Sus scrofa: one gene and its partners. The protein of the gene in region 1 purifies or fractionates together with the protein of each later gene. This does not show direct contact. Links are inferred from orthologs where the notes say so. Each region holds a gene or a part of one and is shown on either strand. Other genes may lie near its edges. The genes, in order: KIF23, SHCBP1, ARF6 and RACGAP1.

What was found.
Region 2: the proteins of KIF23 (region 1) and SHCBP1 purify together in Homo sapiens (affinity purification with western blotting; 9 studies listed by BioGRID and IntAct, with this or other methods). This does not show direct contact. The link is inferred for Sus scrofa from reciprocal best matches to the Homo sapiens genes KIF23 and SHCBP1.
Region 3: the proteins of KIF23 (region 1) and ARF6 purify together in Homo sapiens (affinity purification with western blotting; 3 studies listed by BioGRID and IntAct, with this or other methods). This does not show direct contact. The link is inferred for Sus scrofa from reciprocal best matches to the Homo sapiens genes KIF23 and ARF6.
Region 4: the proteins of KIF23 (region 1) and RACGAP1 purify together in Homo sapiens (co-immunoprecipitation; 10 studies listed by BioGRID and IntAct, counting the BioPlex papers as one, with this or other methods). This does not show direct contact. The link is inferred for Sus scrofa from reciprocal best matches to the Homo sapiens genes KIF23 and RACGAP1.

Annotation. Positions count from the first base shown.
Region 1 is NC_010443.5:167,237,433-167,245,313, forward strand, and holds the start of KIF23 (kinesin-like protein KIF23), read left to right. Parts: upstream 1-2,540; 5' UTR 2,541-2,742; coding exon 2,743-2,753; intron 2,754-5,026; coding exon 5,027-5,096; intron 5,097-6,493; coding exon 6,494-6,622; intron 6,623-7,881.
Region 2 is NC_010448.4:38,026,402-38,034,116, forward strand, and holds the start of SHCBP1 (SHC SH2 domain-binding protein 1), read left to right. Parts: upstream 1-3,467; 5' UTR 3,468-3,515; coding exon 3,516-3,618; intron 3,619-6,595; coding exon 6,596-6,763; intron 6,764-6,930; coding exon 6,931-7,046; intron 7,047-7,715. UniProt on the Homo sapiens protein: May play a role in signaling pathways governing cellular proliferation, cell growth and differentiation. May be a component of a novel signaling pathway downstream of Shc. Acts as a positive regulator of FGF signaling in neural progenitor cells.
Region 3 is NC_010443.5:179,710,127-179,716,279, forward strand, and holds ARF6 (ADP-ribosylation factor 6), read left to right. Parts: upstream 1-3,910; coding exon 3,911-4,438; downstream 4,439-6,153. UniProt on the Homo sapiens protein: GTP-binding protein involved in protein trafficking that regulates endocytic recycling and cytoskeleton remodeling. GTP-bound form plays an important role in the transport of multiple palmitoylated proteins form the Golgi to the plasma membrane.
Region 4 is NC_010447.5:15,916,909-15,924,192, forward strand, and holds part of RACGAP1 (rac GTPase-activating protein 1), read left to right. Parts: intron 1-4,510; coding exon 4,511-4,713; intron 4,714-6,291; coding exon 6,292-6,428; intron 6,429-7,284.

The DNA of each region.
Region 1 (7,881 bases):
TGTTTGTAAATTATACTTCAATAAACCTGATCTTTTAAAAAAGCCTCCCTTCTATTCTCTACCCCTCTCCTACCTTCACCTTGGTCTGGATCTCTAATTCCAGGGGAAAAATGCAAGTCTTTTACCAGCTAGCGATGGAGAGTGCTTGACCATTTTTGAACAGAGAAATGATATAATGAATTGACATTAAAAAATTAAGTCAGCTTTAATAAGGACATAAGTGAGAAGGGAAGAGGAAACTTATCTAAAGAAAAGCTAGGGTTGGTGCACTGTAGCTGGGTCCTGGATCGGGGTGTTCTGTGAAGAAGGCATGGGTTCAGACACGTATGGAGCACCTTCATTGCCGGCACGGGGGCTACAACAGCGCCATCTAGTGATGATGTGGGGATAAGCTGGTAGAGGAGACTACTAAACAGCGATTGCAGATGGCAATGCGAGCTCTGAACAAATCAACAGGCGCAATGACTGAGGGAGGGGAGGGGACAGTAGATGGAGAGCAGGGGTCCAACACCCCGAGCAGGATCATTGGCAGAAGATCTGCTGGGATCTGAGGTAAGGAGGCATTGTCAGAAGGGAGGGAGGAGAGCTTGACAGCAGAGGGCCATGGTGTCTGAGCCCAGTGTGTTCAGGGCACTGAAGGTCCTCCTGGCTGGAGGAATGCAGTGGGAAATGATACGCGATGAGCTTGGAGAGGAAGAGCCTCTGGGCCTGTAGAGGGCCTCCAGCAATGGGAATTACTTTAGTATTACATGTAGGGAGATGATCAGATCTATGATTTAGTGGTGAGCTGGCTGCAAAAAGGAACCAGGATTGGAAGATGGCAGCGGGGAGGCCTGTTAGGTTACAGTTGCTGCCATCCAGACAAGAGATGGTAGTGGCCAAGGGGATGAAGAGGAGAGGTTTGAAGGCTATTTAGTTGGTAGAACTGTCAAGATTTGATGATTGAATGTTGGAACAGAAGAAGAGGCAAAAGTCAAAGATGGTACTTTGCACTTGGGCTTGGGTGGGTGCATAGACGATAATGCCATCCACTGAGGGAGAACAAGTTCAGGGAAGAGATTAGGATGTGTCATGTGTGAGGTACTTGTTGGGCATCCAGGTGTAGAATTCAGTAGGCTGTTGGACATATGCAACTGGAGCCCAGAAAAGCAAACATGAATAGTACGTGAAGCTATGGGCGTGCCTGGGGAGAGAGCGCAGCTAGTGACCACCAGGTCAAAACCCTAAACCACAATATTTAAGGGACAAAAGAGAACTCACAAATGAGGCTGAAAAAGAGGGGCTAGAAATCTAGGAGGAAAACAAAGGAATGGGAAATATTTTTTAGGGTGTTAAGAGGTCAAGAAAGATAAGTGTGGGGAAGAGCCAAATTGTTTTAGCATCAATGATCTTGCTGAGAAGAGTTCAAGTGGAAAGACTGAGACTAAAGCCAGGCTGCCTAGTAATTAAGTGGTAAGCGGGAGTTCCGTGTGTGGTGCAGTGGGTTAAGGAACTGGCATTGCCACAGCTGTGGTGTAGATCGAAGCTGTGACTCACATTCCATCTCTGGTTCAGGAACATCCATATGCCATGGGTGTGGCCAAAAAGGTAAGGTAGCAGCCCAGCCCAATTCCTAAGTAATACAGATCCCAACCTCTTATTTGACGACAAATAAAGTTCTAATGGTTCAAAGACTTAAACATAAAAAACAAAGCAATAAAAGCATTAGGAAAAATATACGATTAAACGTCTTTTATCTTTTTTTTTTGGCCTCATTTTCCCAGGCTAGAGGTTGAATTGGAGCTGCAGCTGTGTACTCTCTGACGCAGCAATTCTGTGTAAATAATAGATTTTCAAGTTTATTCTCTATAACTATGTCTATAGTAGCAAACACTGGAACCATCTTTATGTGGAACAGTATGGGCTGGAGATATGTCAATCCTTAATCGTCTGGTCCTGTAGAAAGCTGAGGAGATGGGACCACAGTTCCATAAGAGCACGTACATAGATTCATACTGATAGTCAAAGTGAAATAAAATCAGTTCATCTTAGAAAAGAGTGGTTCTGGACGTTGCTCCTCAAGGACAAGGATCAAAATTTTATTTATCTCGGTATGCCCAGTATCAATCATTGTTAAGACTTTGATATACAGGAAAGAGGTGGAGGAACCAGAGAGGGAGATCCCAGGAAAAGTGAAGAAGAGAGAAATAGGAAGCCAAGGGGATACCATGATCTGGACTCCGAAGAGAGAGTCTGAGACTCTGTGCAGGGCACAGCCCAAGTAAAGGACACTCCTGGGCGGAACGACACTGTTGACCACTGAATTAACCCTGGACTTGCCCTTCTATCGGACTTCTCGTGCTGTGGGAAAGGAAACTCTCAGTGTTCTCATAGGACCATGGAAGCTGTTGTACTTCCTAATGTCTGAGACCCGCTTCCCCATCCCGCTCTCATCACTCACACAGCCGACGCTATTTCCGGCGTCGGTCGCCTGGGAGACGAGCGCCATTTCCCGCAAAGGAGGAGGTTCCTCATAAGCCCCGCCCCTTCCCCGCGGGCGGGCGCTGATTGGGTGGTTTGAAATGCGCCGGGCGCGAGCTCACCTGCGCCGGCAGCGGCGTCTCCCGGCTTTACGGAGCGCCGCGCCTGAAAGGCAGAGTCTGTGTTCCCGAGGCCGGTCTCTACGGTCCGCCGTCCTCGCCAGCCCGCCCGACCGAGCCCGGCGTTCCGTGCTCGCATCCGGGCAGCGTCGAGCCTGCTGCCATGAAGCCAGCGTGAGTACCGGGCCGCGGAGCTGGGGCTGAGCCGCCCCGGGCCGCGCCTTCGGCCCTGAGCCCGGAGCCTCCCGGAGTGTGGCCCCCAGAGTGGGAGGGAACCCCCACCAGGACCTCCTGGGGGAGGGGGGGACCTGGGCGTCGAGACCCGTCCGCTTGGACCATCCCAGCTCCCAGCCGCCCGGAGTCGGCCGCCCCGGCTCCCCGCCCCGGCTTCACTTCGACCAAGAAATGTCGGCCCCTAGTTAGGGGTGAGGGAGGTTTGGACTGCGACTCCGGTTCCAGTTAGCCGGGTCGCCCTCCACCTGGCTCCGGACCAGCGGCTCCAACCTTTTCTGAAGTTCCCCTTTCCCTCCCTGGTCGTCCGCGGCCCCGGGTTGCATTTTGCCGAGTTAGTGCGGGTCGGAGGTCGACTTGGGTGTGGGGCCAAGTGTTGTATCCTGGGGTTGGTTGGGTAAGTGGTCTCAGCCCCTGGAGAGTCTTGGCATCGGTGTGCATTGCGGGCTTTTCTTAGCCTAGGGGGCCGAGACCACTCCCGGTTGTCGTTCGGTTACTTTTCTCTATTCTTTGGTCTCACACAACCCGGTCCTCGGGCATAAATGCACACGCCCACATTCCTCACCGAGTGGAGTGATGTTCCCAGGGCACACTCATTCCTTGACTGCTATTGGGTATCGAAATACTTGTGCAAAGAAGAGGGCTGACTTTATATTTGTCGTCATCATGTAGCTAGTCGTTTGCAAAAGGCAACTTGTTTTCTTAAGAGGCTAAAGTCAAAATCTTTATCTTTGGGAAGAAAAATACGGAGGTTAAATAAATCTACCATAATATCTTGGACTTAAAACACGAATTTGCTTGTTTCACCTGGGGAAGTGTTGAGAAAGTATTTTAATAGTCTGTAGTCCGAGCCAATAACTTCATTTAATGTTAGCGTTAAATGTTTAGTCTATAGATAAATGGGGAAAAGGGGGAGTGGCATGTAGAGAAGTGATAAAGTAAATCATTATTTTTTCTACCATCCCTACTTAAAAAGAGCAAGAAATTGCAGTTTGGGGACCACATTTTGGGGACAAAGGATGATAGTTCTGAGAATTCAATAATTTCTTATTCCTTGAAAGTAAAGACATAAATCTTGATGAAAAAATGGATTTTCTCCATCTGCATTTTTATATTTTATTGAAGTTGATCACTTTTCAGTCTGCCTTGGCAATGGGCTGTTGGCACTGAAGCCCACAGCATATGGGCTTATGCATCTGTATATTTATGCCCTTGGACATAAGTGTGGTCAATTATCCATAGATTTTTCAAATTTGTAGTGTCTGTAAAATTGTTGCTTAAGAAAATAAGCAAGCTATTTTACAAATAGAACTATAAATAGATGTTAAAAAACAATTCAACAGAGTACATTTTAAAGATCTTATTGGGTTCATTTAACAGTTAATGAATTGGGCAGCATCCAGTCTAGCAGATAGAAAGGAGTGCTGAAGAACTTTACAAAATGGAAGACTTATAGGCAGACAGGGGCAGGACAGGAGAATTACTAGCAATGTGTAGATCGTGGCAAGGTTAGCATCCTTTAGTGGGTGGCAGTGGTCTGTCAGGCAGATCACCTCACTAGTGCTGACCAGGTAATTCCAGGTTGGCTAGTTTAAGAGTCTGCTCCTGGGAGAGGTTGAGACTATAAGTTAGGTATTAAGTCTCAGTTTGGTGACACAGGGCTTAGCATAAGTGATTCCATTTGGGGCCTCTTGTCTCTTTTTTCAACAAAGAGCAAGTATATTTAGTACCAAAACTTTCTCCTAAGCCAATTTTTTTTTTGCGGGGGCGGGCGGGGGGGGAAGCTGCAGGTGGGGCATATGGAAGTTCCCAGGCTAGGGGTTGAATCAGGGCTGCAGCTGCCAGCCTACACCACAGCCACAGCAACATGGGATCCAAGCTGCATCTGGGACCTATACTGCAGCTTGATGCAACGCTGGCTCCTTAGCCCACTGAGCTAGGCCAGGGATCAAACCCAAGTCCTCATGGACGGATACTAGTCGGGTTTATAACCACTGAGCACACTGGGAACTCCTTAAGCCAAATTTTATTTACTTTTGGATTATACATGCCAAAATACTCTTCTACTAATGCAATTTATTCCTGTTCATGTTACTTGGGGTATAGTGTTTTGGAACTGGTAAAGAATAAACCCTAGGTAGGTTGTCTCTATTAATTATAGGTGAGGTTTTTTGTATGTTAGTGTTGAGCTGAAATGTTTTTGTATTTATGACCAGGAGGACTAAGACACCCAGGAAACCACCAGTGAAAAAGGGAGCCCAAACAACTCTTAAAGACCCAGTGGGGGTAAGGTTTCCCTGTGAATTTGTGTGTGTGAATTCATGTCTTTTGTGTGTGAATGTGTGTGTGTAGGGACAGAGGTGCGGAAGTGGAGTCAAAGAACATTTGGCTAAAAGGTCTGTATTTAATTGCTTAAGGGTTGTTCCAGCTTTGAGATTTTATTTCTATGTAGGATTCATTAGTCCAGTAAAATGAAGTCTTTGGTTGTTGATTGCATACTTCCTATAATTAATTATAATTTGAAAAGTTATATAATGAAAAATGGAGTATCTTGGAGAGTTCTTTATATTCTTTGGGATGGGGGAAAGCTTTCTGCTTGCACAAACATCCTCTCCTATCTTTAGGATAGTTGTATAGTAACTTAGGGTATTCTTCATGCGGAAAGCCCCAAACTCCATGCTTTGGGGGACCAAGTTTCATAAAGACTCCAATGTAGAACAATTTAATTCATCTCATGACTGCTCATTTGCATGTACTTCACAAGTTTCAGTCTTGGGAACTTGCTTTTAAAAGCAAATGGCAGGAGTTCCTTGGTGGCCTAGTGGTTAAGGATCCGGCGTTGTTACTGCCGTGGCGCAGGTTCAACCCCTGGCCTGGGGAACTTCTGCATGCTGAGGGCGAAACTGGAAAAAAAAAAAAAAAAAAAAGTAAATGGCAAATGAGGGAAGATTGGTTTGCTCTGGGCTGTTTTTGTTTTGCTTTGTTTTGCTTTTTAGGGCCACACCTATGGCATATGGAAGTTCCCAGGCTAAGCGTCGACTTAGAGCTGTAGCTGCCAGCCTATGTCACAGCCACAGCAACACAGCATCTGAGCTGTGTCTGTGACCCACAGTACAGCTCACAGCAACACCAGATCCTTAACCCACTGAATGAAGCCAGAGATCGAACTCACATCCTCATGGATACTAGTTGGGTTTGTAACCTGCTGAGGCAAAATGGGAACTCCCTGCTCTGGGCTTTCCCTTCACTGGCACTGGAGTGTGTCTCTTCGTCTGAGTTGAGGGAACCAGATTCTTTGCACATACAGCTGATTAAGAAGACCACATTTCAGATCTTGCATTTACTTATTTAGTATATTAAGTACTCAGCTTCCAAGTTTTAATTGACATCCAATTCCATATAATCCTAACAGCTTTTCAAATAATTCTCATTGTGTGATATGTGGATTTCTAGAGAGTTTTAATTTTATGTGCATTTAAAATTCTCTCATATCTAATATATCTTTTTACATTTGACAATCAGCAAATTGGGCAGCAGGTAGTGGGGTAGAAAGTTTTGGCTTTCATAGCTTCAAGTTTATATAGATCTCTTGCATTTAGACACCAAATGTTTGTTGAATGAATAAATGAAAATTCAGGTAAAAAGTCAACCTTTGATTTTTAAGCATCTTCTTGTATTTTCAGGTATACTGTAGGGTACGCCCACTGAGCCTTCTTGATCAAGAGTGTTGCATAGAAGTGATCAATAATACAACAGTTCAGCTTCATACTCCTGAAGGTTATAGACTCAACCGAAATGGAGACTATAAGGAGGTAATTGCTGTTGGAACCAACTGTTTTTAATTAATAACTTCTTTCCTGAGTGGTTTTTCGATTTTTTTAATTGAACAAAATTCCTGTGTTTCCACTTTTTTGGAAGATTTATTTACTTCACTCTAACCATTATATTTGAAGTGTTTTTAATGTCTAGGTTGTATGGACACACCTTTGGTATACGGGAGTTAGAAGATTCCTTTTAGAGGATAATTTCTTATGCTAATATTCCTTTTTGGAGCATTTATGTTCATAACAGCTTTTTTTTTTTTTCTTATTTTTGTTCATGACGGCTTAATATGGAATGATATCTGATTGTGCTAGGCTGTTACATATATAAGTATATATATAGTTTCATGTGTGGGGATTGAAATAACATTTAATAGGATAGGCACGGGATACTTGTATCCACTTCTTACAAAGTGTTTAAGCTGGAGGGTAGAAGGAGACTTCTAAAAATGAATAAAGACAGAGTCCTTGCCTTTATGGAGTTTACAATTTACTTTACAGATGCTAAATAACCCTCATAGATAGGACATGGAAGACAGGTGTGCTTCAAGAAAGGGACTCTGGGAAAGGATTAATTCAGGTTGTCATCTCTTTCAAGCTGCTTTCACTCTTTTGTGTACACTATTCCAGGGAGATTACTAGTCAGAAGCCCACCAGTGGCCTCTCTGCCACTAAATGTGATAAGATACCTCTTTGTCCTCATTATGATCTATTTCTCAGCAGCAATGCTACTGTCTTCCCACCAGCTGTCCCGAGTTGTCTTTCGTTGGCTACCCTCTGTGGGCTCTGCCTCATTTCCCAACCTTTAAATACCAGGTTGGGCTATACCCAGGGATCTCTTCCCTATCTATACTTTTCTCTGGCTTTAAATGTTGATTATATGGTAATAATTCTGAAATTTTTATCTCTACCTTAAATCTTTTCTTTAACTCTGAACTCAAACATCCACTGCTTAGATTTCACATAGGCGTGTCCAAAAGAACTTCTTTTCCCCCCTCTAGATCATCTCCTCCCTCGTTTTCTCTTCTCAGTGAGTAGCACCATCATCCATTTGCTCAGGCCAGAAACGTCTCTTTGTCTTGTCCCCCGTCCCCCTAACACCCCATTCATTAGTAGATCCTATCCCTCCTACTCCAGTGTATATTTTGAAACTCTCATTTCCATCTCTACTGCCACTATCCTCCTCTGGGGCCTGTTATTAATTACGGAGACCTGTGCTTATTGAATGATCTGTGGTAAAGAAGCAGCTT
Region 2 (7,715 bases), on another chromosome or scaffold:
CTTGCACTAATGTCCACTTCTCTTTGATTTTTATTTTTATTTTTTTGGTCTTTTATCTGTTACCAGGAGAGTGAGGGCCCAGAAGCCAAGGGAGGAAAGGCTGTGGTTGGTGTGTGTGTGTGTGTGCGCCCGCGGGTGCGCATGCTAGGCTGTCAATGTTGCAGCAGGTGCAGGGTGATGGAAGCCCAGTAGCAAACCACTGGCTGTTAAGAGAGGAGAGGAAAGCCGCTACCCCAGCGCAGTTTGGCACTATCCAGAAAGTGTGGAGGCGGCATCTCAAAATTGCAACTAAGCTTTGGGAAATATTTAGGGAAGGGCAGTGATTTTGAGTCCGTGTGTAGACAGCATATAAGGACCTAATGGTGATAAAGAGAGTGGACCCATTACTAGCACTGAGTCAGACCAGATATGTCAGTTGATCTTGAGTTCCTAGCCAGGGATCCATTCCCTGGAAGATATGAGGGGAGATTCCATGGCCTCTACAAAGGATCCTATTCTGCTCCAGTTATGGGGATGTAGTTTCCCCCTCCTTTTTTTTTAATGCTGTAGCCATAGCAACACCAGATCCAAGCTGTGTCTGAGATGCAACACCACAAATCAGGGCAATGGTGGATTCTGAACCCACTGAGTGGGGTCAGAGATTGAACCAGCATCCTCATGGATGCTAGGTGGGTTCGTTCCTGCTGAGCCACAATGGGAACTCCTTTTCCACCTTTTTTTTTTTACATGACCATTTTAAACAGTTCACTTGTCAACTACAGCTATATGTCCATCACCGTGATGAATACCATTATGACCACAAAATCAATAGAAGACACTCTCTAATGATGAGGAGCTTAATGTCTAGTTGGTAATTCCTATAGAAAGCAAACAAACAAGCAAAAAACCTAGAAACCAAAATAAGGGTGCATGATCATGTTATAGATTGTGTACAAATGTACCACATGGGACATTGAAGTATAAACAAAAGTTTCCCGAACCTTCGATTTCTCATATGTAGAAGGAAGAATTAATCCTCACTTCACAAGGCTGTTTGAAGATTAAAGGTTATAACTATTGTTATAGCGAAGAGCCAGGTACATTATATACTCTTAATAAATGTTAGTCAAAATATTAAAAAAAAAAAAGAGTGGAGATACAAAAAAGACTGGGAATAATGGATGCCACCCCACCTTAGGGCAGGTGGAAGGCTGTGATGGGCTGCAAGTGAAGGGATTGGAAAGGAAGAATTAAAAAGCCCTTTCCAGAGTTTCCTTGTGGCTCAGTGGGTTAAGGATCCAGCCCGGATTGCTGCTGTGGCACAGGTTGGATCCCTGGCCCAGGGAACTTCCACATGCTGTGGGTGTGGCCAAAACCAACCAACCAACCAACCAAAATCTTCTCCTTAGGATTAGGGGGAGGGCGCAGGGAAAGCAAACTCCCAAGATGTGTGCTCCTAAAAGGTCTCCACTTAGGGGAAAACTCTAAAACTTTCAATATAATCCATGCAAATATAAGTTTGGAAATGTAGCCCGTGTAATAAATGATTTGTCTTTAATAGAATTTGCAGCAGCACAGGTGTTTTTTTCTCTGACCCTGTGGCTGCATGTTCTTTTCCAAGACTTTTCCAGAAGCATTAGTTTGGGAATTCTCTTGATGACTGAGGAAATATTCTATAATTGAACTACTGAAGAGCTATGCTGTCTTCAAGGCCAGGGAAGAGGGCTGAGGAGAAATCCTGCCCCTTGTGGGGTTTGCGGGTGGAAGGGTTAAATGGAGAATTATAAGAAAGTCCCAATGCTAGTCTTGATTTTATTGTTGCGTGTGTTTTCACCTCCTGGTGCTCAACAAATATTTGTTCAGTGAACCAATAGCCATAAGGTCGACATTGTACTTGAGAGACAAAGAAATCTTGTTTCCTGGAGAAGCCAGCTGAATTAACTGCAGGTTGCTACAATCACCTCTCCTGGCTCCATTTTGTTTCAGCTGTGGGGGCATGAGAGACGCTAGTCCAAAGTTTTCCTTCAAGGCAGCAAGTGGAAATGTCTTCCCCGTGATAAATCTGTTATGACCAGGCTCTCGGCTTTTGGTGGGACTCAAACCACCATGTTCTGGTAGCCTCCGCTGTCCCTGGCCACCTCAGCTCCCACTACTCATGGCCTGGCAGAGGCATTAAAGGGTAGATGCAAGAATTTGACTGGTTTCTAATACAAGTTGTGCTGGGTTAAATTGGGCATTGCTTAATTGATTGGCGATTCCATTTGTTCATCTGTAGACTGGTAATAATTATATTTCCTGTCTCATCGGATGGCTTTTGAAGGTTGATTAAGATAATGCAGATACAATATGCAGGAAAGTATCTTGAACATAGTACTCAATAAATGTTAGCCATTATTACTGGAATTATAGTTATCTTTGATTAATAAGCATGGATAAAACATGCTTTTTATTTATTTTGCTTTTTAGGACTGTACCCGAGGCATACGAGAGCTGCAGCTGGTGGCCTATGCCACAGCCACAGCCACAGCCACAGCCACAGCAACTTGGGCTCCCCGCCAAGTCTTTGACCTACATCACAGCTCATGGCAACGCCAGATCCTTAATCCACGTAGTGAGGCCAGGGATTAAACCTTCATCCTCATGGATCTTAGTCAGGTTCATTACCACTGAGCCATGGCAGGAACTCCAAAACATACCTTTACATACTAGATATAACTTGACATTCTTTAAAAATATCTTTTATGTATAGGCAGTGAATGAAAGAGGGGAAGAGAGAAAAAATGAGAGAGAGATTGGTTTTTTTTTTTTGTTTTTTGTTTTTTGTCTTTTTAGGGCTGCACCCACGACATATGGAGGTTCCCAGGCTAGGTTAATCGGAGCTGTTGCTGCTGGCCTACGGCAGAGCCATGGCAATGCCAGATCCAAGCCGCATCTGCAACCTACACCACAGTTCACAGCAACGCCAGATCCTTAACCCACTGAGCGAGGCCAGGGATTGAACCTGCAACCTCATGGTTCCTAGTCGGATTCGTTTCTGCTGCGTCACGACGGGAACTCCCCAGAGATTGATTTTTGATGGTGAAAAGTTTGGAGCTGTCTAGGCCAATATACTGTTAGAACTGCAGATGATCTGTGAGGTGAAGTGACTTGCTCAAGTTAACACCAGTAATAATGGCAGAAACAAGTCTAAACAGTGTTTTTTGACTCTCAAGCCAGTGCCTTTTCCGCTCTACTCCATTTCCAGGTATGACTTGTCAGGTTTTCGCAAAACATCCCTAATTATGTCCTAATTCAACTTTGTTCAAGTGCCTTCTGCTCATCAAGAGCTTGGACCAGAATAGCAGTCCGCCCGGCCAGTAGATGGCGCCAAGGCACTGTCACTGGGGTGGGGGGAGGCTGAAGGGGGCGGGGCTCGTATGGAAAGAGGACCAGGCAAACTTTCTTTTAATTGGTCCAAGCGCCTAGGCCCATTGTCCAATCGGAAGCGCCTGCGTCATCACCTTACCCGGCTGGGCGGCCGCCCGCGGAAATTTGAAATGGGTGACGGGTTGCTGGCCGGTGGCGGCCTGGGGTCGGAGGCGATGGCGCCCGAGCGCACCCGCTGGTCAGCGGAGGAGCATCCGGCGCCTCTCGAGAAAGGTGAGTACCCGCCGAGTCAGGCCGGAGGAGCCGCTGCCTTCAGCGGACCGTGTCAGCGGCGGCCGGGGGTGGTGTCCAGACCCTCCGAGGGCGCTTGGGGCGTAGGCCTTCCGGACCCGGCTGGATTGGGTGGCGGCGGTGGCTGGGCGAGGCCCTGACTCACTCTCTGGACGTCGAAGTCGGACAGTACCCTTGGGCAGCTCCTGTCCTCCCTGCCCAATCTGGCCTCAGCTTCCTGGGGACCGGAGGGGGTTGGGTGGGGTTGCGAATTCCTACCCTGGCTGCCTGGGTGGGCCTCCTCGGGGCGTTTGTCTGTGCAGAATGGGCGCGTCTTTTTTATTTGCATCCTAAAGGAGATTATGAACTACACTCCCCTTTGGCGAAAGAGGAGAAATTTGTACGCTTGGCCTAGACAGCTGCACTCTACTTTAAAGGCAGATGACAGGCCCAGGGAGGGGAGCCAATTGGGGACAGTGTCTAAAGATAGAACCCAGGTCTGATTCTCACCTCTTACCTCTTCACGGAGATTCCACCCCACCCTCCACCCCCGATATTTTAAGCTGGTTCAGGTTTTGCTTCAGTATTTTCAGTTGTGTTGGTAGTGGAAGGAGTCCTGGAGAAAGAAGATATAAATGACTTGGAAAATTCCTCTACTAATCCCTCTTGTGGACTGTCAAAAGTCACTTGGCTTCAGTTTTCCCATCTGGAAAACAGGCAATGGTGCTATGGAGTGGTAAAGATGAAGTGAGATAATGTGTGAAAAGTGATACTTTCAAATTGGCTCTAAAGGATTGTGCTGTAGTAAGATATTTTTGTTGTTGTTAAGATACACATAACATAAAATTTACCATTTTAACTGTTTTTTAAGTGTACAGTTCATTGGTATTAAATACATCCAGATTGTTATGCAGCCATCACCACCATCCAGTCCCATAACTCTTTTCATCTTGTAAACTGAAACTATTCCTATTGAAAAATAACGCTCCAATCTCCCCTCCTCCCAGTCCCTGGCAACCACTTTATACTTTGTTTTTATGATTTTGGCTATTCTAAGTACCTCAATCAGTGGAATTACAGAATATTTTTCTTTCGGTGTCTGGATTATTTCCCCCAGCACAATGTTCATGCATATTCTAGCACTTGTCATAACTTCCTTTTTTTAAGGCTAAATTATTTTTCATCATATGTATATACCACATTTTACTTACCCATTCATCCATCAGTTACTTCTATGTGTTAGCTATTGTGGATAATGCTGCTGTGAACATGGATGTACAAATATCTCTTGGAGACTCTGTTTACAATCCTTTGGGTATATACCCAGAGGAGAATTGTTGGGTCATATGGTAATTGTATTTTTAAATTGCTAAGGAACCACCATACCAGTTTCCACAGAGGTAATACCATTTTACCTGCATACCAACAATGCATAAGGGTTTCTATTTCTCTACATCCTAGCCAACACTTGTTTTCCTGGTAGTTTTTCTTGGTTTTTTTTTTGGGGGGGGGATAATAACCACCTAATGGGTGTGAAGTGAAAGTATTATTTCTTTAACAAACATATCTGTATGTTATGTGAGGGGTATTGTTGTGGTTAACAACTAATTTGTTTAATTCACTTGATTGAAGTAGACATACGATTCTCACCTTCCCTTTTTAAAGGAGGTAACTGAGGCACAGAGATTGTCACACAGTAAGTAAGTAAGGTACTGATATCCTCGGAGGCTCAGGTGCATTGGTGTCTGTGAGCAGGAGACCCTTGTACACTTTGGTCATCTGTGGGGTCACATGATTCTGGTGGCCTGAACTGGGGCAAAGAATTGGAAGGAGGGAGGAAAGGAAAGAGAAATTAAAGGGGTGAGGGAAGAGAAAGACTGCTGCTAATAACAGCCTCAGACACCCTTCCTGGAACCGCTGGAAAGGACTTTGCCAGTCTAAATGCCACCCTCAGCATTGTTTATTTAATGGTCGTTTTGTCTATTAAAAACATCTTATTCCACAGAATTAGATATACCACTGGCCAAATAATGCCTTGTGAAACATAATTACATATAGCCCAGACCTAACACGATTAGCATTTTCTAATCCCTCCTTTAGCCACAGGCTTTGAAATTAGTGAGGAGGAACCTAGTAACTTTGGTGAAGTAAGCCTTATGCATTATTAAGACTCATGCATGTTTATTCAGGGGCAGTGACACGCTGATCTTATAGAAAATAAAGGGGGGGGTTCAATTTGAAAGGGAGTGTAGGAAATCACCTCCTTATTTTAATGCAGATTTGTGAAATTGTTTGGGGAGAGAAAATGACTGAAAGATATTTGACCATTGTAAGTTCTAGTAAGAATCATGGCTGAGTGATTTTCACTGAATTGAAAAACAACCCTCTTTCTTTGCCTCCCTGAGAAACCACATAGAACGGCAACAAAAACCTAACCCATGAAGGATTTTAAGTTCATATTGTTTTGAAGTAGAAGTTGGATTTGAGACATTTTCAAATTTGGAAAACTGTTCTTTCTTTCCTGACAATGTGAAAAAAAAAAAAAAAAGGGAAGTAAAGCATCATGCCCAAATATTAGTTTATATTTTGTTTGGGATCTCTTTTTTAAAATTTTTATTTTAAATTTTAATTTTTATTGTCTTTTTAGGACCGCACCTGCAGCATATGGAAGTTCCCAGGCTAGGGGTCAGATCAGAGCTGCAGCTGCCGGCCTACACCACAGCCACTGCAATGCTGGATCCAAGCTGCATCTGCAACCTACAACGCAGCTTTCAGCAATGCTGGATCCTCATCCCACTGAGCAAGACCAGGGATCAAACCCTCATTCTCAGGGATACTCCTCAGGTTCTTAACCTGCTGAGCCACAAATGGGAACTCCCTTGTTTGGGATTTCTATGCAAGGATGTAAAAATAAAAGTAGTTGATAAGCATTGGAAGTGTCTGGGATAGTCGAGCCTGCCTGTTTTGTTATTTTTCTTAGGTTTGTTACAAGATGACGATTCATGCAGTGATTGCAGCAGTCACGATAAACCAGGTAGTAGTTTACAAAGTTTCGTGCCAGAAGGAAAAATTCATTTCCCAGAAATGTTCCAGACAAGTCACCTTTTGTTCTATGAGCGATTCAGAGCTTATCAAGATTATATTTTAGGTGAGTAGGCCCTCTTTTTTGCTGCTTCTGTCTTTTACCAGTAGATTGTTTCAGTTCTTCAGACTGCCATTTGTTGGTTCTGAGAAAGTAGATTTAGGTGAATTTATTAACTTCATGCTGTCTGCTTTATGCAGTCCCAATTCTTACTGTGTTTAATTTGTTTATAGCTGACTGCAAGGCCTCTGAGGTAAGAGAATTCACAGCTGAGTTCTTAGAGAAGGTCCTTGAACCATCTGGATGGCGGGCAGTCTGGCACACTAATGTGTTCGAGGTGCTGGTTGAGGTAAATTTAATTCTGTTACTAAGACATTTGTCTCTGGCTAGAAACACTTTCCTTCGGACTATGATAGCCAAAGTGCTTATTTTTAATTAAGGTTTATGAGCTGATTGAAAAGAGCATGTTTTTCACATCTAATTGCCATGGTGTATGAAGAAGTATTCCCCACAAATTTTAAAGGCAGCTAAGGGGCTGCCAGGGAATTGAGGTGGTTTGTTTCCTTGTCCATTTTCAAGGGGAAATGGATTATAAACCTGTGACATGGGGGAGGTATTTGAGACCATTTAAAAAACAAAGAGGCTTAATTATAAAGTAGGTAAGGTTTGAATTAATTTTTTGCCTTCTTAGTTGTAGCTCATTAAAGTAGCTCAAACCAAACAGGCATTTAAAAACTAGCCTATTTTTTGCCCAACATGTTTGTAGGTATGTGGTACCTCTTAATAGTGTGTCCCATAGCAGAAAGTAAATGCAATCTTATTCTTCAACAGACTGGGCCTTTTACATTAAATTTGCACTCTAATTACAGCTGTGAATTTTTCTCAGTGTTTGTTAATTGGACCACAAAACCCCCTGTTAAACTAAAATGTAAACCAGAGAGTATGAATACAAGTTGCGGCTGTAGCTCCTTTAGGAAATGACATCACATCCTGCAGTGATTATGTACAAGGGCATGGT
Region 3 (6,153 bases), about 12 Mb from region 1:
TGCAGGCTTTGAGTTAAAAAGCAGAGATCTGGAGTTCCTGTTGTGGCTCAGAGGGTTAAGAACCTGACTAGTATCCATAAGGATGAAGGTTTGATCCCTGGCCTCACTCAGTGGGTTAAGAATCTGACATTGCCGAGAGCTGTGGCATAGGTTGCAGTTCAGCTCAGATGGAGCGTGGCTGTGGCACAGGCCAGCAGCTGTGGCTCCGATTTGACACCTAGCCTGAGAACTTCCATATGCCATGAGTTCGGCCATGAAAAGAAAAAAAAAAAAGGCAGAGATCCATTTTTCTATAATAGTCTTTGAAACTTTCATTTGTGTCTAAAACTTAAAGCAGTGAAACAGAATGCAAATAGAAATCTAACCATTTTGTTCCAAAAATGTAAATTTTATTTGTAAAATACTTCACTGAACAATGTTTTTAAAATTGAAATTTACCCTTTTTAAACTGTTCACTGTTTCAGGAAAACAAAATTTCATCAGTGGTATGATTTAGTAGTCACCCGAACTGTTACTTTTTGCAGTAATTTGGTTTTATAGAAATTCATTTACTTAAAATACTTTTGTATATATACAGAGTTAAAAATTTTCACTGTCTGTAATTATATTCTGGCCATTATCTGCTTTATGATTATTACTTAAAATGTACTGTATAACTTACTGTATGATGAGCCACTATAAGATACTCCACTGTATTAAGATTATTAACTGATTATTTCAAACCCCAGATAAAAATAGTATGTGCCTTTCCTTTTTATTTCATCTGTGGTATAAAAGGCATTCATTCATTCAAACAATGACTGAACTCCTGATACCCTACACTCCATCACTAAGGATATCAGGTTGACAAGGCAAACTCTCTGCCTCCATTTATTCTGGTAGAAGATAAATGGAAATTGGCTTTCAAAAATAAACTTTTTTAGGCCTAGCACAGTGCCAGTGCCAGGTAGATGCTAGTGCTTCAAGCTGCTTCTATCTTTTTTGGCCACACCTTGGGCATATGGAGTTCCCGGACCAGGGATCAGTACTGAGCTGCAATTGCGACCTATGCCACAACTGTGGCAATGCAGGATCCTTAACCACTGTGCTGGCTGGGGTTTGAACCTGGATTGGACCTGTGACCCAGTGTTCCCAAATGCTGCTAATCCTGTTGTGCCACAGCAGGAACTCCAAGTTGCTTCTATTTTTAATAATATCACACAGTACACTGAAAAATAAATCTAAGCCCAGCAGCTCAATCTTCCATCTGGATGGAAAAATTGGTATCTGCTCTGAGAAAACTATTATGTTGGAATGAGGCAAAATATAGTACTCACTACCACATATAAAAAATTCCTTCCTCAAATGTAGTAGTAATTACTATGACACTTTCTTTATAGTTATAAAGCATTTTAAGAAATACAGCTGACCCTTGAATAGTGGTACAGGGCTGGGGATGGGGGTAAGGTAGGGTAGTAGGGCTGACCCCAACACAGTCTAAATTCTGAGGATAACTTCTTAGATGGCCCTCACATCCCAGGTCCTGCATCCGTGGATTCAACCAACCCAGATTGTGTAGTGACAAGAGTACATATTTATCTAAAAAAAGACAAGTACAGTGGATCTGTGCAGTTCAAACCTGTGTTATTCAAGGGTCAACTATACTGTAATCAGATTTCCTGAAGTACTTACAGGGGGTGAAAAAGCCTAATTTTGGGGTTAAGAGAGAATGAATAAATTCACCATATCAGCTTTGTGACCTCTGAAAAATTACTCAACATCTCTAACTCTCGGTTTCCTCCTAATTAATACTAATTAATGAACCTCAAAGCTAACTCACATGGTTGCAATGCATATTAAAATATTTGAAGTATTTAGTACAGTGTTTATAACAATCAATAAATAATGACTATTTTCATTCATGGTATCATTCTTCATTTGGTTCAACAGGTAAAGAAAATGAAGTTTGCAAAGGCTGAGAGAAAAGGATTCACAGCTATAAAATGGAGGGTGACATTTGAAACCCCAGTCTTCTGACTGCACATCCTTTGTTTTAAGACAGTACATATTAAGGAAGAAAGTAAATTAAATCATTGCCAAAATATTAGTAACTTCAGTAAATTTACTTCAGGCTGAAGCTTAAAGGTTATCACTTAACCAATCTACCATTATCAAATTTTTTTTAAACTGTGAAACAAAAAGTATGTTACTTTATGCTATCACATCATATTCTTTAAAAAAAAAAAACAAACACGCTATTTTCCTGTTTTTCCTCCTTTTGGTTTATTTCAAGCTTTCTTCATATTTGAACTTTATCACTAATCATTTGATACAAAGAGGGTTCCCTTTCTACAAACATTATACGTATAATAATAAAAGCCCTCAAGTGGGCTTCTAGACAGTGGGGTCAGAATTACACTCAGTTTACGCATGAGATCAACTCGATAAGGTCAAATGTCCGAATCCAGGCGTCAGAAGTAGTTTTTCCTATTCTAAATCCAACGCTAAGATTATATAGACGAGGCTGCTGAAAATTAAGAATGAGAAACTACTACTAATCACAGTAAAAGATATTTAAAAAGGAAAAGCATGGGAAGTCTTGAAAATACTGTAATTTTTAAGAAACGTGGATTGCTCCTGACGGCTCAAACACTCAAAAGACGGGCTTTAGAGGAAACCCAAACCCAGTAAACGCGCCGCACTGAACGGCAAATCCCACGGGAACCACTGGCCTCCCACGTGTCTCTCAGGAAATGCACAAAACGAAGGAAAAAGAAAGCCAAAGGGAGTTGGGTGAAAGGTTTAAAACAGCAGATAGGGATTCACAGGGAGATGGAGGGCACACGAAGCCTGGGGTGGGCAAGAGAGAACTCGCAGAGCATCTGGCAGGCGCCGAGGACGGAGAAGAGGCCTGGAAGCAAAGCAGGGGGAGGCTTTCATCTGGAGAGCGGGCGGCCAACGGGCCCCACCCAGTGGATCTGCTTCTCAGGTTCCAATGGGGGCGGAGGAGGAGAGCGCGCGGAAGAGAAAAGCAGAGAGGGGAGAAGACGCTAGAATAGCTACAGGTGGGCGCGGGTCAGAGCCCGGGCTGCGCGGGAGCAGGGCTGGCCCCACCTGGGAGCCTCCGAGCCGCCGTAGCCCCGCCCCTCCGCGCGTGGCGCCCCTGACGCTTGGCGCGCAGGCCGCTCTCCTTACAGAGGTCGCTCTTGTCCCGAACGGTCGGCCTCTGCTGCGCCTGCGTCGTCGGGAGGGGAAGTGAGGCGGTTTCCTCGGCGCCTTTTCCGGCGGCGGCGGCGGTAGAACTGGGAGGAGGCGGTGGAGGCCGGAGGGAGCCCGCGCTCTGGGCGGCGGCTGGAGGTAACCTCCTGGGCTGAGCTGGAAAGGCGGGCTCCTTCGGCCTCCGCTCTCTTCTGGGGCTCCCGCAGTAACTCCCTTTTTCCTCTCTGTGTTTCTGCAGGCAGCGCACCGAGTTCCCGCGAGGATCAATGACCCGACGGGGCGCCGGAGCCGCTCTGCTCTCGTGTGGCCTGGGTCAGTGGTGAGCGCGGTGCTCCGCGGACCGGAGGCCGGGCCGAAGGGCCGCAGTCTCCCGCGGCGGAGTGAGGTGAAGGCGGCCGAGCAGGAGCCGGCGGCGGCGCTTGTACGGCGCCTGCGGGGGGAAGGGCAGTTCCGGGCCGGGCCGCGCCTCAGCAGGGCGGCGGCTCTCCCAACGCAGACTCAGGCCGCGGCGACGGGAGGAATCAAGTTGTGTGGTCGGTGATGCCCGAGTGAGCTACGGGCCCGGGCCTCTGCCCTGAGGAGGCAACTCCCACGCAGGCCGCACGGGCCCCCTCGCGACTGGGAAGCTCCGTTTCGGTTTCGCGGCGGCGGCGGCGTTGTTGGAGGGGACCCGGGACACCTGAATGCCCCCGGCCCCGGTTCCTCCGAAGCGATGGGGAAGGTGCTATCTAAGATCTTCGGGAACAAGGAAATGCGAATCCTCATGTTGGGCCTGGACGCGGCCGGCAAGACAACCATCCTGTACAAGTTGAAGCTGGGCCAGTCGGTGACCACCATCCCCACCGTGGGTTTCAACGTGGAGACGGTGACTTACAAAAACGTCAAGTTCAACGTATGGGATGTGGGCGGCCAGGACAAGATCCGGCCGCTCTGGCGGCATTACTACACCGGGACCCAGGGTCTGATCTTCGTAGTGGACTGCGCCGACCGCGACCGCATAGACGAGGCCCGCCAGGAGCTACACCGCATTATCAATGACCGGGAGATGAGGGACGCCATAATCCTCATCTTCGCCAACAAGCAGGACCTGCCTGATGCCATGAAACCCCACGAGATCCAGGAGAAACTGGGCCTGACCCGGATTCGGGACAGGAACTGGTATGTGCAGCCCTCCTGTGCCACCTCGGGGGACGGACTCTATGAGGGGCTCACATGGTTAACCTCTAACTACAAATCCTAATGAGCATTCTCCACCCATCCCCCAGAAGGAGAGAAATCAAAAACCCATTCATAGGATTATCGCCACCATCACCTCTTTGAATTGCCACTTTCTCTTCTTTTGAATTTGAACTTTGGAGTTACAGTTCTACGGTTTGGGGGAGGGGGTTAGGGGGTTTCTTTTTTGTTTCTTTTCTTTTTCTTTCTTTCTTTTTTTTTTTTTGGCTTTGCGTTAGGATGCTCTGAGCTGACTTTTGACACGAACACAAAGTACTTAGATACTCTCGTTGACTTCCAGCAAATGGGATGGGGGAAATACAGCAGTTCTTGATAAATTCCTTTATAATAATGGTTTGATTTTTTTATTTCGAGAGAATCTTCTTTTCCAATGTATGCTTTTTTCCTTTTTGCCCAGTTTCCTTATCACTTGCTGTAGATGGCTTATTTTGCATTCATGCAGACTATGTTGCAAGTCTGTTTCATCTAGTAAACTGAAAATTATTGCTTAATCAAACTGCCGTTTGTCTTTTATATTTAAGGCCTTTTCCCCCTCCCTTATGAATTCCAACTTAGTAAATTCAAATGTGACCTTTTATATCTAAGACCAGTATAGTAAACTTAGCCCACAGGGGCAAATAATGAGTAATATCATTGTAATATGTTCCAGTTGCACATCAGTATGTTAAAACAGGTAATGTAAGTTCTTTGAAATGTCAGCTTTTAAGTTCTGAAACATACATCATGCATGAGTAAGGATAAAACTCAAGTTCCCCTTTACAGAGCTAACTTACAGTGCATAAAAATATGAAAATGTAACCAGTCAAGGACACAGATTTTTTTTTTCACTGCAAAGTTAGCAACTTTGCTGTGTTTTCCCTCTTTTTTAACTTTAAAAACAGACTCTTCCAGAAAATGGAGCAATAATGTTGTATGCCATATACAAAAGAAATATTTGTAGATATTTTAAGTGACTTTTGGGCAAAACTGGAATATATCTTTTACTATGTTTCAAATGTCTAAGACCAATCATATTAAAATTACCAGAATGTTTACTTTGTTCATTAATAAAGCATTTAACAATTCAAGTTATATGCACCTTTTACCTAGTTGGAAAGAAAAACATTCCTGTTTCCACATTACAGCAACTGAATAAGCTGAAGATATCTTTTTTTAATAGACGAGTGATTCTTATCTCCATTAATTAGAACACTGGAAAAGATGTTTTATAAGAAAGGTATTCTTTTTGATTGTAGGATTAACTCATGCAAATAGTCAGATATCCTGTTGGTTCAATGATACACCATCTCCTTTAAGGAAGGAAATGTGAGATGAATGAATGATGTGTAGACTTGAAGAATGACAAAGGGGAAGTAGGATGTAGAGAAAGAACCTACAGATGACAATGAATGTAAACTTATTCAAGGGTAAGCAGTGTGCTCACTGGTGATATCCAGATCTTAACAAGATGACTTGCTTAGCTGGTTAGGACCAGTAACAAGATTATTGAGACCACTATGGTAATACTTTGAACCAAATGTTAATGCTTGATACAGAATTGTGTGTAACAGCATCTGGTTCTTATATAGCCTTAAGGATTAATTTTAGAGATCCTCAAGGAATTAGGGTATTTCACAAATGTAGACTGCAATGGCAGCATACAGGAAAAGGCCGAGTGGGTTTTGTTTATGAGGGTATCTGAAAACTAAAATTGAGCGGGATGTCATGGTATATGATTGG
Region 4 (7,284 bases), on another chromosome or scaffold:
AACTCCAGGAACCTTTATTTTATAAGCAAATTTCTATCCCCTCATTGATTTCTGTGATAAAATAGAGGTACATTTTGTTACCTCTCCAGATCCCTAATTTGGAACGTTGGCTTTTGAGGAACTAAAGTGTCTTAGTGTTTTCTAGACTGTAGAATCCCCTTTCTGTGACCACTCCAGTCTCTGTCCTCTTCTGAGATCCTAGGAATTCCTCCCATGCCTAGGGAATTCCCTGATTCCTTACTCTTACTTTTCCATCATCGTAACTTCATTCCCTTTTCTCCTTTCTGTATAGTTATAGTTGTTTTTTTTTTTTTAAGGCTAAGTCCAAAGTTAGTGAAAGAAAGATCAGAGTGAAGGTTTGTATTCAAATAAAATGACTTTAATAGCCTATATATTTTATCTTTGTTTTCCCCAGTCTACATGATTTTTATCTTCTATTATTATCATGAGCTTCCTGCCCTTTTTTTCTTTTTTTGGCTTTGTCCTCGGCATGTGGAAATTCCTGGGCTAGGGATCAAACCCACACCACAGCAGTACAACAGTGACCCAAGCTATTGCAGTGACAACACCAGATCTTTAACCCACTGCACCATGAGAGAACTCCTGCCTGAACTTTTTTGATGTTGGTGTATAAATTAGGAATAAATATTACTTAATATTTATCAGGTGCCTGTTATGTGCCAACACCATGTTATGTTGGTGCTATGCTATGTACAGTAGATGATAACTAAGTTGTATGTGGTGTGTCTTCAAGAAGATTGTGGTATTTAAGTTTCAGAGACAGGATTCTGTCCCGTGAAACAGAAGATAATACAAGTTTCGAAATATATGTTTTGGGAAAGTATAGAAAAATGTGGAGCAAACAGATAAGGAAAGGATTCATAGATCAAATGGGACTAGAAAAATGAGTACATAAAGAAGAGTAGGAGAGTTCCCCTTGTGGCTCAGTGGGTTAAGAGTCCAACTAGTATCCATGAGGATGTGGGTTCAATCTCTGGCCTTGCTTGCTGCGTTAAGGATCCTGAACTGGAGTTCCCGTCGTGGCGCAGTGGTTAACGAATCCGACTAGGAACCATGAGGTTGCGGGTTCGGTCCCTGCCCTTGCTCAGTGGGTTAAGGATCTGGCGTTGCCGTGAGCTGTGGTGTAGGTTGCAGACGCGGCTCGGATCCCGCGTTGCTGTGGCTCTGGCGTAGGCCGATGGCTACAGCTCCGATGAGACCCCTAGCCTGGGAACCTCCATATGCCGAGGGAGCGGCCCAAAGAAATAGCAAAAAGACCAAAAAAAAAAAAAAAAAAAAAAAGGATCCTGAACTGTGGTGTAGGTCACAGACGCAGCTTGGATCTGGCGCGGCTGTGGCTGTGGCATAGACCAGCAGCTGCAGCTCCCATTTGACCCCTAACCTGGAAACTTCCATATGCCGCAGGTATAGCTATTAAAAAAAAGAGTAGGTAGGGCATTCCATTTGAAGAGCATAGCCTGATCGTAAGTGACACAGGTCTGTCCTAGGGGCAAGGACAAACCAGTTTAGCTAGAAAGAGGGTATTAGGTAGTGATGAGAAGTTGATTAGGTAAGGTGGCCTGGATGCGTGGGGTTTAAATATGGACTGAACAGCCATTTTCATTCATTCATTCATTGAATATTTAAATGCCTACTGTGTGCTAGGTAAAGTGCAAGAACCTGGGGATAAAGTGAGAGAGACATAGGGTCCTTGCTCTTAAGCTTAGAGGGTGGTGAGAAAGACAAGGAAGAGCCTATGCAAAGGCCCTAGAAGGAGTGAGCTGAAAAAAACAAGATTCCTGGAGCTGCTTTAATCTCTTTGCTAAACTATGAACTAAATCCTGATTTTTTTTTTTTTTTTTTTTATGGATCAGAGGTTATTCTCAATTTGTTCTAAGGAAATTTCCCTTCTCCTTTTGATAGATGCATTTTGTAATTTAATATAACTGTTTAAGAGACAATTTTAATAAACCTTTTGAATGTATATTACATGACAGAGGCCAGTACCAAATTGAATTGTGATTCACACACTGACCAAAAATTGCCATTTGTGTTTATTGATCTCCAACATGAAAATTTCTCCTGGTCTGTGGTCTAAAGTGGGTTTTTGATCCATTCTAGCACAATTAGTTCATAACAGAATTGTACATAAAAGTAATATCTTCGTCATATATGCAGATGATCTAGTTTTGGTCTAACATAAACTAAATTAGTAATTTAATCATTTGTATTATTAAAACAGGAACTCCTTCCTTGAAATGAACTGATACTTTATTTGGTTTCAGTTCTGTCATCCAATTTAGTTATATCTGTAACATATGCTAATTAACAATGAATGGGAATCAAAACCCCAATATAATAAGACTTATCAAGAAGGAATATCCTAAAGATAAAACCAGCAAAATTAGATCAAATGGAAATCTTTTTATTCTCAAAGTTGTTTTTTAACTCTGTAAATATTTGCAAGTATAAGCAACACTATATTTAGAAACATTTAATTGACCACAGTGCGGAGCTAGAAAGTTTTTAGACTGTGTAGTTGAAAAGTTTGTTTCCTTTTATTTATCAATTTTTTTTAAGAAATATTACATACCTCAAAAAAGTTCACAAATAGGAGTTCCCGTCGTGGTTCTGTGGTTAACGAATCCGACTAGGAACTGTGAAGTTGTGGGTTCGATCCCTGCCCTTACTCAGTGGGTTAAGGATCCGGCGTTGCCATGAGCTGTGGTGTAGGTTGCAGACATGGCTTGGATCCCGGTTGCTGTGGCTCTGGCATAGGCCGGTGGCTACAGCTCCGACTTGACCCCTAGCCTGGGGACCTCCATGTGCCATATATGCGGCCCTAGAAAAGACAAAAAGACAAAAAAAAAAGTTCAAAAATAATAAGTGCACTGCTTGAGGAATTGTTTGAGTAAATATGACTAAGAATCAGCTCTTGTTTTTAATGTTTTTCTTTGTGAATCTATAGTTTTGAAATCGTTTAATTTGCAAAGGGATGTGTTTGTTTTCTTTTTGTTTAAATTAAGGGGGGGAAAAAAACCCTTAGTAATGTGTTCCAAACTGTTAACCAAACCAATATATCATTTAAAACTATTTGAGGAGTTCCTGCTATGGTGAAGCAGGTTACGGGGCCAGTGTTGTCTCTGCCTGCTGCAGTGAAGATTCAGTCCTCAGCCCTGCCAAGTGCAGTGAATTAAGGATCCAGTGTTGCCGCAGTAGCGTGGGTCACAGCTGTGGCTTGGATTTGATCTCTGGCCCAGAAACTTCCTTTGCCATGTGTGCAGCCAAAAAAAAAAAAAAAAAAAAAAGAAGACTTGAATTGTAATAGTATATTTTTTGAGATCCTTGATATTTGCATTGTCTAGGATAACTAGGTCATGATATCCTGTTTTGCTAAAAACCTATTGTTTAGTAAAATCCTTATGTGTAAGCCTTAGTTTACACATTGGAATTGTCCTAATTTGTAAGTTTGAAATTTAGTCAATCATTAAAATTACTTTAAAAAGGCACTATATTATCTCTATGCTTTCAGGTTAAATTCAAATAAAAAAAGTGCCCTTATTACCTAAGAATCTGCTGGCTTTGTGTGAATTTGACCTAGTTTCAGCCGTAAACTGGGTTAGCTTGACCAGCAGCAGATGTACACCTTGGAAACTTCCTCCATGATGCTGGTGGAGAATGATGCTTGGAGGTAGATTGAGGTTAACTAGAATAGTAAGGCACTGTAGAATAGTCTTTGCCAACAGCAAGTGCTAAGAACAGATGCCACCAGGGTTATCATGCTTTGAGGTGCTGCCTTGGAAGTGATGCTCTCTTTGCAGACTTTTGAAAAGAGTGCACATTCCGCTATCAGTGACTCACCCAAAGCTAATATGATCTTCTCTTCCTGTGTCTTTCCAACTGGAATGTTTACATGCCCTTCAGGGCTGTGTTAAACAGCAAAAGCAAATTGGCTCTTTACTTTCAAATCAATATTTGTATAATTATATAGCTGAATGCAATTGCAGGCCTAGACATCTATAATATTAATCTATATCTTCTGGAGCATATTACAGCAGTTACATTTGAATTTGCTCTTTAACGCCTCTCTGGCACAGCAATGCGTGACTCTAAAGGAGGCTGTTTTTTGTTTTATAGCTGTAACTGTCCTGGTGTGTGACAGCTGCCCCAAAGGTATCCCCCTTTGATTGCCTTCTGTTCAGGAGCTTTCACTGTTAGTGTTACATCTGGAGACAGGTGACTAATGAGTTACTTATTCCATAGCAGATGCCACTGGCTAAGCCAAAAGTTAGTGGCCTATTGAAATAGGAACTGCTCCCCACAAAGCTCTTATCCAGAGTGATGAACATATATCCAGGATCTGCTCCTGGTTATTTTCAGCTAGATTTGCCCATAGTTCAGCTGGTCCCTTAATTATGTATTTGGAATAAAACTAACCAGAGGACTCATTTATTAGAGCATTTATACTCAGTTTGGTGCTTGAATTATTAAAGTTTCCCCCTTTTCTTAGAATTTATCCAGTTGGCAAAGGACTTTGAAGATTTCCGTAAAAAGTGGCAGAGAACAGACCATGAGCTGGGCAAATACAAGGATCTTTTGATGAAAGCAGAGACCGAGCGCAGTGCTCTGGATGTTAAGCTGAAGCACGCGCGCAATCAGGTGGATGTAGAGATCAAACGGAGACAGCGAGCTGAGGCTGACTGCGAAAAGCTGGTGTGTATTGTTTTTTACATCAGACTGTGACAGTGGGGGGTGGGGGAAGCATTAGCCGTAAAGTTTCCACTTGCCTAGATATACCCAGTTTCTTCTACATTAAGGAACTAAAAACAGCCTGTCCATTGATAGGCTGTCCATGATTGGAGCTGAAATTATAGCCTAGGAATCCTATTCTTCATAGGTTGAAACTTAAATTTTTTTCCTTTAGATCTGAAACTTTTACTTAATAGACACATTTCAAACGAGAATTTGAGGAATCAAAATTATAGGGAAAACTAACACAAAGTTGTAAATCAACTCTACTTCAATTTAAAAAAAATTAGGGGGGGTAGTTCCCCGGCCTCGCTCAGTGGGTTAAGGATCCTGCGTAGCCTTGAGCTGTGGTGTAGGTCTCAGATGCAGTTTGGATCCCACGTTGCTGTGGCTGTGGTGTAGGCTGGAGGCTACAGCTCCGATTAGACCCCTAGCCTGGGAACCTCCATATGCCGTGGGTGTGGCCCTAAAAAGATAGAAAGACAAAAAAAAAATTATTTTTTTTTAAATTTAAAAATTAGGGGGAGGAGTTCCCGTCGTGGCACAGAGGTAATGAATTTGACTAGGAACTGTGACATTGCAGGTTCGATCCCTGGCCTCGATCAATGGGTTAAGGATCAGGCGTGGCTGTGAGCTGTGGTGTAGGTCAAAGACGCAGCTTGGATCCCGCGTTGCTGTGGCTCTGGCGTAGGCTGGCAGCTACAGCTCAAATTAGACCCCTAGCCTGGGAACCTCCATATGCTGCGGCTGTGGCCCTAAAAAAAAAAAAAAAAAATTAGGGGGAAAGGCAGGGAAATCTTAGCATTTTTGATCTGTCCCAAGCTGTTGGTTGTCTCTCGTTGATGATAAGCACTATCTAGAGCATTGTCAACCTTTTATCAGTAGCTAGTGCTTTATCATTGATACAGGCAGGACAACTCTTAAGTCTTTCCTTTGTCACTGCTCTTAATTTAGGGTGAAGGATATATTCAACCAGTGTGAACACTAGAACATACATTATCATTTTGATGTACCAGGGTGGGTCATGCTACACAGGGAAGCCTTTATGAGAAGGGACGAATTCATCTTGGTACATTGTTAGATGCCTCAGTCAGCTTGAATTGTCTGGTTCCAGGGTGGCACAACTTTGTATCCATTCTAATGCATTTTGCTCCATCATTTAGAAAAGTGGGTGGTAGCTTTGATCCGTAGAAGAAGCCAATAATTGTCCTGATAAAAATGACACTGAAGTGCTTTTGCTGTATGAAATCTATTTTGGGACTCTGATTTTGCAATACTCTCTTCTCTTGGATTAGCAGTTTGATCCAAAAGTCTTGTCGCAGAAACCCCACTATTCTAGATGGAGTTCATGTTACCAGTCAGAAATCAGAGACACAATCTGGGCTTGATGTGAATTAATATGCCATTGGTGTAGCAGTCTTCCTGAAGGCTCATTTGCATAATGCTGTATTTTAATGTCTTCTGGTCTGCCTGTCCCATAAATTTGAGGTGAAGCTTTCTCCCCTGGTTAGTTAGAATGTTTTACTCTGCTTTGATCTGTAGGAAAGACAGATTCAGCTGATTCGAGAGATGCTCATGTGTGACACATCTGGCAGCATCCAACTAAGCGAGGAGCAAAAATCAGCTCTGGCTTTTCTCAACAGAGGCCAACCATCCAGCAGCAATGCTGGGAACAAAAGGTGGGGGAACCTGCATCTGTTGTTATCTGATCACAAGCAACACAGCTGTCAGAAATTCTTGTTATCTAAAGTCTTAAGCATACTGCTTCTGGAATGTGTGCTGAATCAAGAAGAAAAAGACTTTGGAGGAAGGGTGGGTGGGAAATAAAGGCTCAGGGGCTTCCCTCTTTCTCTTGGCTTTTCTTAGAATGTTTCATCCTGGGTAAAATTTGATGTTAGTGCTAAACTGCCCATCAATAACTAATCTTGCACATTGCTAAGAAACCTAGAGGTGGAAGTGGCAGTTCAGCAATACTTCCAGTGTTTACTCTCCAGAGAGCTCTTGTAGCTCTTCTGGTTTAGAAAGGTCTTCTGTGAGCCAAGACCAGACAATAATTTTGGTTCCACTGCATTGCTGTTTAAAAGAGTCTCAACCAGGCTTTGACTTTAACATCCCTAATGTAATACGTAGGGAAAGGTCAACACTCTTAGAGCTATTTATTTTGTTGCCTGGTTGTTTTATGGGGACTCTTTATAACTAAGAAGCTGTACAGGCTTAATTTCTTAAAAAGCTAACGCTGGGTAATACTGTTTTATAGAAAGTAACCACATTTGGTATCAAATTAAACTTCACTCTTCTGCCTTGTGAATTTTCAGTAGCCTGTAGTACAGGCTCAGCAGGGAATAGCACCCATACCCCTGGCTGTAACTTTCAGTTGCAGTTATGAGGCCTTTGCTGAAATAGCAGCTGAGCTGCAAGTGCACTCATGCATGCTCGCGCACACTCCCCCACGGAAACCGTAAAAAGCAACCTACCAGAGCTAGGTTTGAGCTTCGAGTTACCTCCACAGGGGAAGGCGTTGCTGTGAAATTGCCA